Yarrowia lipolytica: one gene and its partners. The protein of the gene in region 2 purifies or fractionates together with the protein of the main gene of each other region. This does not show direct contact. Links are inferred from orthologs where the notes say so. Each region holds a gene or a part of one and is shown on either strand. Other genes may lie near its edges. The genes, in order: YALI1_E16493g, YALI1_F09230g and YALI1_F13373g.

Region 1 (3,538 bases), on a different chromosome or scaffold from region 2:
TCGTCAAATCACACATCAGCTTGCAAGAAGTTGTGTCACAATGCTCTTCTGTTGAATTCGACAGATTCGCTGAACTCGACAGATTCGCTGAACTCGACAGATTCGTTCAACTCGACAGATTCTAGAATGTTCCAGAACCCACATCCAGAACCCACATGCCTCGTACAAGACGATAATCCCTCTGAACACTTGACGGGCCGTCGACGTGATTGTACATGTACATGAAAAATGCCCTCCAAACGTCACCGCTTATCTGCCCACGTCGATTGCACATTTAGTTTGCTAATTATGCTAAAAAGCCTTCAAAATGTCGTCGACAGCACAATACCAACTTCTTCAGCAGAGCCGTCAGAAGCCCCAAATGAAGGCGCTCAGAAGTCCCATCAGCTCAATTGGACGTTAAAAGACATTCTACATGTTTTCCTACCCTCCAAACCTCCCCCTGATCCCTATAAACACCTCCATGTCCTCTTTACACCCGCCAAACCTCACCAACTAAATCATCCTTAGAGTTGCACTAAGGCTGCAGTAATGAGTTGTTCATGCACACGTACAATTGTCTCCATGATCATGCTATCATTTATTAATTCTTACATGTGAATGCTCTTGCACTCTATGTACAATAAGTTAGTCTATTAAAAGTTGTCCTCAATGGCCTTTCGCTGGGCGTCGGTCAACGAGCTGGGGAAGTCCACCTTGATGGTGATGATCAACTGACCACGCTCACCAGGCTTCTTGGAAATGGGCATACCATAGTTGGGGTAGGTGATAATGTGGCCGGGGTTGATGGGCAGACGCTGCTCAATCTTGAGCTTCTTGCCCTCCAGGGTCTCAATGATCTTGGTGAATCCACACAGAGCCTCCTTGAGAGACAGCTTGATGGACATTTTGAGATCATCACCGTCTCGAGTAAACACGGGGTTGGGCTTCTGCTCAATGACAAACACCACATCCTGCTGGCCACCGTTGGGCTGAGAGTCTCCCTCGCCAGCAAAGGTGAGCTTGGTGCCTGCCTTCCAGCCGGGCTTGATGTTGACGGTCAGCACCTTCTCTTCGGGCTGGCCACTGGGGCCCTTTCGGGTGATCTTCATTTTCTTGGTGGCACCGGTGCACAGGTCCTCCAAAGACACGGGCATCTTGACTGTCACCTGTGTTCGCTCGGGCGATCGGGCCCTCTGGCGCGGCATGCCTCCCATACCGCCCATGCCGCCACCCATGCCTCCTGCACGGCGGCCAGCACGTCCGCCAAAGAGGTTGGCGAATCCTCCGTAGTCGTCTCCCTCATCGTCGAATCCGCCCTGCTGTCCGAATGAGTTGAAGATGTTGAAGGCGTCGCCAGACGAGAAACCACCGAAGCCACCCGGACCACCGCCACCAGAAGAGAAGTGGAAAGTCTGAGGGCCACCACCGCCTCCTCCACTAGAGAAGCCACCTCCGGGGAAACCTCCGGCGCCGCCGGGAAACCCGCCTCCGCCCGGAAACCCGCCTCCTTGGCCGGGTTCGGGCATGGGAACTCCTCCTTTTCGAGCAGCCTCTAGACCATACTGGTCGTAGAGCTCTCGCTTCTCCTTGTCTGACAGAATGTCGTACGCCTCGGAAATCTGCTTGAACTTCTCCTCATTTCCTCCGGGCTTGTCAGGATGGTACTTGAGAGCAGCCTTTCGGTACGCCTTTTTGATGTCCGCCTCGCTGGCGCCAGAAGACACCCCGAGGTCGTCGTAGAGCTTTGTTTCTTTCACCATAGTATCGCTTGTGAAAATGTATGGGTGTAGTAACCTATGTCGTGCGTTACAAGAGCCCGCAAAAAAAGTGCTGACCACCCGCCTTAAGTATTGCTCAGAGCCTATTCGCACTCGACTCTTCTGGAGCCTTCGAGATTGGTTGTGAACCTTCCAGCGTCTTCGCCGCGATAAGGTTGGCAATTGGGACCACGACAGAGCTAAATTCCAAGGCGGCAGTTTGGCTGTGAGTGTGATATATATATACTTAGCGCAATAGAATAGCTACAGAAAAAAGAGGGAAAAGTCACGTGACAGACAGGATGTCGGAGCGCGCGCACGTAGAGAGAAATTCTTACCAATTGAGCGTTCCCCTCGCCACCCATACCTCCTCCTCTCGGTGTTAAAGTGTACGTAGCGTAGCTACTGTACTTGCAGGCGTGTGTGTCAGGCAGGGCAATATTAATACATGAACCGCGCAAGGCCAAAAAAAAAAGACGAAAAAAATCCACGGAAAAACCCGCAAACTCAGCCAATGGATCGCTCTGGCCGCTAAACAGACCCAATTTTCCTCAATTGACGATCTCAAATGAGTACCTTCGAATTTCCATATTTTTTATCAGGGTTAGGGTAGTCCTGATTTGGCTGATTTCTGGGGGGGGGGGAAGAGAGAGGTCCACCTCACGTGACCATAGCTTAATCTCGCCGCTCCCAATATGCCGTTTAGTCCGTGATATCTCGAGCAGCACGAAACAGGTTGAATCCATGGGTTCGGAAACAAATCAAGCATCCGCGCAGCCTCAGCAGCCACCGGCGCAGCCCCAGGGCCAGGTCCAACCCCAGCAGCAGGCCGCGGCAGCCGAGTCGGACATGTCTGTGATTTTGTGCTCGTCGAGTTACGATAACACCATCAAGTTCTGGGAGGCATTGAGTGGAATCTGCTCGCGAACCATCCAGCATCCTGATTCGCAGGTCAACAGACTGGCAATCACGCCAGACAAGAGGTATCTGGCAGCAGCAGGAGGCAACACAGTGCGGCTGTACGACATTCGAAGTAACAACCCCAAGGCGGTCATGACCTTTGAGGGACACACAGGCAACGTGACGGCATTGGCATTCCAGTACGATGGCAAATGGATGGTCACTTCGTCGGAAGATGGAACAGTCAAGGTCTGGGATATGCGGACCGCCACAGTCCAGAGAAACTACAAGCATAGATGCCCCGTTAACGATGTGGTGATCCACCCCAACCAAGGAGAAATCATCTCGTGCGACCAGGAGGGAAACATTCGAATCTGGGACCTCGGCGAAAACACATGCACTCACCAACTGATCCCCGAAGAAGACGTGCCTGTACGATCAGTGTCTGTGGCGTCGGATGGATCAATGTTGGTGGCCGGAAATAACAAGGGCAACTGCTACGTGTGGAAAATGCACAACACCCGCGACGTGACTTCTCTGCATCCCATTACCAAATTCAGATCTCACTCAAAGTATATCACCAAGGTGCTGCTATCTCCAGACGTCAAGCACCTGGCCACCTGCTCCGCAGATAACACGGCCCGAATCTGGTCCATCAAAAATGGATTCTCGTTGGAAACTACTCTCACAGGACACCAGCGATGGGTGTGGGATTGCGCATTCAGTGCTGACTCGGCATACCTTGTCACCGCAAGCTCAGACCATTACGTGCGGCTGTGGGAATTGGCATCTGGGCAAATCATCAGACAATACAGTGGCCACCACAAGGGCGCACTTTCGGTCGCCCTCAATGATGTTTAGTCTACTAACCAGCTTATGTATTTTATTATATATCTATG
Region 2 (2,969 bases):
TGGCGAATAATACAGTATGTACATCAATAATCAGTGTGGCGTCCGTGAGACTCAATTGTATAACATTTATCACCACTTGTCTCGTTAGAAGTGTCAGAAGGAAGCACTATCACAGCTAGATATCGTCGGGTAGAGGGCTGTGTAAGGCTATGGCCATCTACAGTATATAGGAAGCAGATAAGAGTTCCATAGATCATGACCCTGGTTGAACTGTCATCAGCGAGTCTCACTGACCGAGAGGGTCCCGAATGTGCACGGCTTTCAGAGTATGTGTCTCCCTAGCTACTTGTACAGGAGGTTCTTCGGCGAATACGATGTGCCGCAGAAGTCCTACATTGCAATTAACAACATCCTTGATACACAACTGTGTTGATGTATGTCTTCCCCGATCCTGAGACCGTCATTCATCAGTGCCACAGCAGATCTCATGGTTGTGGTACTGTATGACATGTGCGATACATACAGCCATGCAAAACTTTTCTTACTGCCATTACACATCTCCAATCACTCGCTACTCTTACATGTCTACAATCTCTCAGATATTAAATAAGCCATGTGGCATTTTATTGCTTACGCTTTTGATTGCAACGCATTTACTGAGAAGCAATGGAGTCGAGGAGGAACTGTCGAGCCTCGGAGTCCTCACCCCAGTTGGTGATGACGACACAAGAAGCACCGACGACCTTTCGGGCGTTACCCTCTCGGTCGAGCTGGCAGAGACCAGCCCACTCACCGAGCTGCTTGGCATCGGGGACCTTGACAAGGGGGATCTTCTCCTCGGGCTCGTTGCAAAGAGCCTCAACGAGCTTGAGGTAAGACTCGTCGGTGACAGAGTCACACAGGACACAGAGCTCGGCCTCTCGTCGAGAAAGGGCCTTAGAGCACTCTCGCAGACCTCGGACGAGACCGTCGTTAATGACAGCCTTCTTCAGGACGGTCTTGAGGGCATCCTCGAGGGTAAGTCCTCCGGAGGGAGCAGCGGCGGCAACCTCAACTTCAGCGATAACTTCAGAATCAGACTGGGTTAGAATGATGGCAGCGAGTGATTGTCGTTTGTTTCGACTTCGTTCGGATAACGATTTGGATGCTTTTTGAGCGACCTCGAGAGATTATGTCAATGATTTGCTTCATTTTTCCTTGCAAATAAATGAGACAAATCCCATAGTTTCTCCATTTGGATCGCTCGACATCCTCACCAAGATGGCCTCGTGATTCCCTCTGTCATACTCACCATTTTTAAATGGACTTCCTCACAATTTCTGAACTGTTCAGTCTTGTTGGAGAGTTATAACGTCGAAAAGTTTCATTATTTGGGTGAACGCATGTGTGACTGTTTTCCCGATTGGGAAGTATCATGTGACCTGGTGACGATTTGGGACGGCTGCAGTTTTGGGTGTCGTGGGTTCGATTCGTGGTGTCGTAGTATTAAATTATTATCTGGAACACACTACACAGATTCACCGTATTTCCGGGCATGAAATAATGTGACTGTCTCGATAAAAATATATTTATTCAAAAATCCACCCTAGATCCGCGTCCACACGTGCTCTTAAACTTCCTGATCATGTCCGTGCAAAAACTGTGTTCTGAACAACCCCAACAGTCGAACATTTACCTACAGTTCAAGCCTTTTGTAAGGCGATTGAACTATATCGGGAGCTCCAGATAGACCTCAGTCAGCCGTTTAAAATACATATTCCGGTAGCCCGTAGAGAGACAGGGAATGTAAAGTGACTTTCATTTATTTTTCGTGCTACCAATTGACACACCCCATAGCTGCTACACCAAGTGCAAGTACATACTGCACCGGTGTGTACAGGTACTTGTACAGCACAGTGTGTATAGCCCCTCAGTCGCTTCAACAAACGGAAGCAGCCGCCCAAATACACTGAGAATGATACCAACTTCCGCTTTCTCCATTTGCTCCCATTGTTTGCAGTTTTGTTGATTCCTCAAGCCGTCCTATGCACTTCGTATTCGTCTTGAGACCGAGTCTCAGCAAATGAAACAGGCTGCTGCTGACCCTGCACACGAGAGAGGTGCAGGAGGAACATATCTCACCCAAGACTGAGACATGGGCCCATGTTGGCGCACTCGCAGCGTGTTTTACTCTTTTACTCTGTTGTTCTACCCCCATATGGAAGTGGTTGCATGAGACATAGTGTAAACATGTGAAGATACAACCACTGCACTTCAGGCGATGGTGTATTGCAACAGCTGGTTGCCTGGGACCCTTTTTTCGGAGTGCACAGAGCCGGATAAACAGACAAAAAGAAATACTAGCAGCCATTACTTCTTTTTGTATCGCCCCTTGTCTACCAATATTGAATTCTACTGGCCCCTCTAAACGAGCGTTAAAAAGTGTATCTGAAGCAGCCAGGGTCGATCTACAAGAGTTCGCTGCGGGACGAAAAAGAACAGTCTCTGACCTTTGTCTCGGACAAAACTCGGAGAAATCCAACACCTAAAGTCCACATAACTTCCATCAGTGCTTGTGTGGTGCTGCAAGTAGCTCCGAGACAAATGTGCGGTGAGACCTTGTCTAGTCGATTAACGAGGTGTTCCCGCCATTTGGCCGAGAAATTTTAACGGCGTTGAGTAAGACATGTTTTCGGGTTTGTCGAGTAATTACGGTCTGTCTATGAGTAGACATGAGACATTGGTTTGAGGTGCGACACTGTTACGTACATACTGTATCTATGGTATTCACCGTCCAAGTACACACGGACCGCTTGTACGAGACTACAGATCGCCTTAGATCCGCCGTTGCTTGTGCACATGAGGAATGTTGCTGCTACGAGATTATGTGTACTTGTATATCATTAATTTAATTCATTTTAATCTCATAAACCTCCATGCCTTCAAGCCTATCATCCTCCTGTGTGAGCAAGATCTACAATCTCCACAGTGGAGACATTCTAGCGAGCATAACGGGTTTAAGCAGTTGAAGGTATTGAAAATTGGGATCA
Region 3 (3,013 bases), about 410 kb from region 2:
GGCACACTTCAATCGTCATCGACAACAAGACCGAGTGGTACTACGGAGCCGGAATCCAGTCCGCTCAACCCGGAAAGACCCACCATGGCATTCCAGACAAGGTGGTGGATCTGGGAGAGACCCATGTGCCTGAGGAGCTGATTCAGGAGTACCTCAACGAGATTCGGGGCGAATACACCCCCGACAAGTACAACTTGTTTGACCACAACTGCAACCACTTCACACAGGAGCTGTCGCAGTTTCTGACCGGCAAAGACATCCCGGTCGACATTTCGTCGCTCAGCCAAAACGTGCTCGCCACTCCCTTTGGCCAGATGTTGAGACCCATGTTGGAACAGGGCATGAGCGGAATCACCCAGCGTCAATGATGGGTTTTATTTATTGCAACGAAGATGTAGACCGAATGAAGTACGGGTACACAACTACAGACTGAGCGGTATCTCGCTCGTGAAACAGACGCTGCGGTGTTCAGCTCTACTTAGAAAATTTTTAAACAATCTACAGCGTTGATTTTTGTTCAAGAGATAAATATACTAAACTAAATCAATACATTTAGGCCTTGAGGGTGAGGTGGCATCGGCCGCAGTACTGTCGGTCCTTCATGTCAGCCATGAAGACACCGGCACCGCAGGACTCAGACTCACACTCTCGTCGAAGTCGCTCAACCTTTCCGTCATCGTCAACCTTGTAGAGGTTGAGGACAGCAAGCTTGTTCTTCTTTCGCTTGTGCTTGATCTTCTTGGGGGTGGTGTAGACCTTCTTCTTTCGCTTCTTACCACCACCTCGAAGTCGCAGGACGAGATGGAGAGTGGACTCCTTCTGGATGTTGTAGTCAGAAAGGGTTCGGCCGTCCTCGAGCTGCTTACCGGCGAAGATAAGTCGCTGCTGGTCCGGGGGAATTCCCTCCTTGTCCTGGATCTTGGACTTGACGTTGTCGATGGTGTCGGAAGACTCCACCTCGAGGGTGATAGTCTTACCGGTAAGGGTCTTGACAAAAATCTGCATTTCGGTGTCGTCTGCAAAGAAAACTGTGCTGTTGTTAGTGGTTGCTCCTTGAGGTCCTGCTCTTCAGCTTTTGCATCGCTCCACTGCGTTCGCTGCGTTCGCCACCGTGTGGTGTGTCGTTATTACTCACCGTCTTTCTAGCCGAAGTGTCTGAAGAAGAAGAAAAGGAAGAGCTGCCGTGTAAATTTATTTCCATGCAAGTTGAGTGGGACTTCTCAAATAGGAAGTTACCCGGACCGCTATAATAAAACCTTATTTGATTTATGGTCACGTGGCGAAATGAGGTGGGGGGGGGGGAAACCGAAGAAAAAAAAACGTCGGTAATCTAGCTATAGCCGTAACTGACAATGCTCCATAGACCCCGTTTATCCGCCGTATCGTATATTTCCAGATTCCTTCCATTTTTTGCTGACTAATAACCCTAACCACCAGCATCTCCAACATGCAGTAAAATTTCACTGCAACATCACCATACACAAAGTCTCGAAAAATGACCGCCCAGAAGTTGCCCAAGCTCAAGTATCTGCGTGTCAAGAACCTGCAGACCGCCGAGGCCCCCCAGGCCGTGCAGCTTCTGTCTCGACTTTTGGCGTGCTGGTCATCCAACGGTGTCAACTCCGAGGCCTGCAAGGAGATTGAACAGGAGTTCAAGATGGCTGCCTGCAAGAGTGTGAGTATGAGAGGAGAAGGGTTGGAGATGATTGAGGCGACAGGGTCGGTTTAATTTCGTTTTGCAATTCTAACTCAGGTTAAACCCGTCAAGCAGCAGGACAGTATCAACTTCCACGCCAAGCGACTTTACCCCAAGATGGTTCCCCAGGGAAAGAACCGACGATAAGCGATGTCATCCATCGCCAGCATGTACATATTTATGAATTCTCTGTGATTTACGATACTGGGAGCGAGACGGAATTGGTAATGGTTGAAGATCGGAGGTGGGATGTGTAGGGAGAGGTGATGGAGGTGTAGGGTTTCCAATGGTCTGTTTGATATGTTGACGCCTCTGGGTATTGTAGTTCTGCAATTACTTGAGTTAACCAGAGTAACCAGAAGTTGTAGAAGAACTCTCTCGATTAGTACAATGTATCATAAAGGTCCATCTCATATCTCCAGACTGTAGACACTTTGCGACCACCCATTATGGCGATACTGTTGAGACGGTGCATGTAATTCGATTCGCTGTAGACTGTTGACGCTTCTTCGTATGCTTCTGTAGACCACTCTAGACCACTCTAATGCGCCGAAGTACCATCTGCTCAGTTCCAGCACGAGGTTCCAGTGTCCAGGTCCCTGTGATAAGTCAAAGGTTTTCAGTTGCACTACGATGCTGCAGGGCTACCAATGTATAGGAACTATAGAACCAGTCGATCCCTTCTCTACAGTATGGATATTCACACAGTTGTGTTCTACATCAGAAGCTGTACCGTAGGTGTAGCATAAGCAAGTATGACAAGGTACGGTACTGTACAGTGGATACGGCACCATCAATTGTCAGTTCTGTACTGTACTAGTACTCGTACAATACTGTACCATCAAGGGTCGGTACTTTACCATCAATTGTCAGACCATAGCGACGTGAATACGTCTAGCACCCAAGAGCACATCAACATCAACAATAGTATTGTATTGTACTCGTACTGCACTTTCCCTTCATCCCCTTCTGCCGCTCATTCCCTCTCCTGCTATTGATATCTCCTGCTATTGATATCTCCTGCTGTTGATATCTTCTGCTGTTGATATCTCCTGCTGCCCTCTCGCAGCTCACGCACAACGACGTCATCAGCGCTCGGAAAATTGTGCCCACATGGTCACCTGTGCGTTTGGGAGAACCGAGCAGGGGCCTGTACGAGCGGCTAAAGAGACATGCGCCTCTTACGTCATGGGCTGCACGTGATGTGGAGCAGCCGCTGGACACAAACCAACTTTCCCTTCGGTCAGCGCGTTGTCACGATACATGGACCCGTGCTGTACTGCCCTCAACTGATCCGGCCACTTGTGGTTGTGTTCC

The links.
Region 1: the proteins of YALI1_F09230g (region 2) and YALI1_E16493g purify together in Saccharomyces cerevisiae (affinity purification with mass spectrometry; 3 studies listed by BioGRID). This does not show direct contact. The link is inferred for Yarrowia lipolytica from reciprocal best matches to the Saccharomyces cerevisiae genes RPS12 and SIS1.
Region 3: the proteins of YALI1_F09230g (region 2) and YALI1_F13373g purify together in Saccharomyces cerevisiae (affinity purification with mass spectrometry; 3 studies listed by BioGRID). This does not show direct contact. The link is inferred for Yarrowia lipolytica from reciprocal best matches to the Saccharomyces cerevisiae genes RPS12 and RPS31.

What each region holds. Positions count from the first base shown.
Region 1 is NC_090774.1:1,647,603-1,651,140, forward strand, and holds YALI1_E16493g (uncharacterized protein), read right to left. Parts: upstream 1,743-3,538; coding exon 636-1,742; downstream 1-635. Other genes in the region: YALI1_E16501g (uncharacterized protein), read left to right, coding at 2,484-3,500. UniProt on the Saccharomyces cerevisiae protein: Required for nuclear migration during mitosis. It is required for the normal initiation of translation. Might mediate the dissociation of a specific protein complex of the translation machinery. Essential for viability.
Region 2 is NC_090775.1:921,348-924,316, reverse strand, and holds YALI1_F09230g (40S ribosomal protein eS12), read right to left. Parts: upstream 1,235-2,969; coding exon 1,232-1,234; intron 1,020-1,231; coding exon 594-1,019; downstream 1-593. UniProt on the Saccharomyces cerevisiae protein: Component of the ribosome, a large ribonucleoprotein complex responsible for the synthesis of proteins in the cell.
Region 3 is NC_090775.1:1,335,346-1,338,358, reverse strand, and holds YALI1_F13373g (ubiquitin-40S ribosomal protein S31 fusion protein), read right to left. Parts: upstream 1,006-3,013; coding exon 553-1,005; downstream 1-552. Other genes in the region: YALI1_F13384g (uncharacterized protein), read left to right, coding at 1-368; YALI1_F13366g (mitochondrial 37S ribosomal protein mS37), read left to right, coding at 1,496-1,675, 1,754-1,843; YALI1_F13355g (uncharacterized protein), read left to right, coding at 2,452-2,628, 2,766-3,013.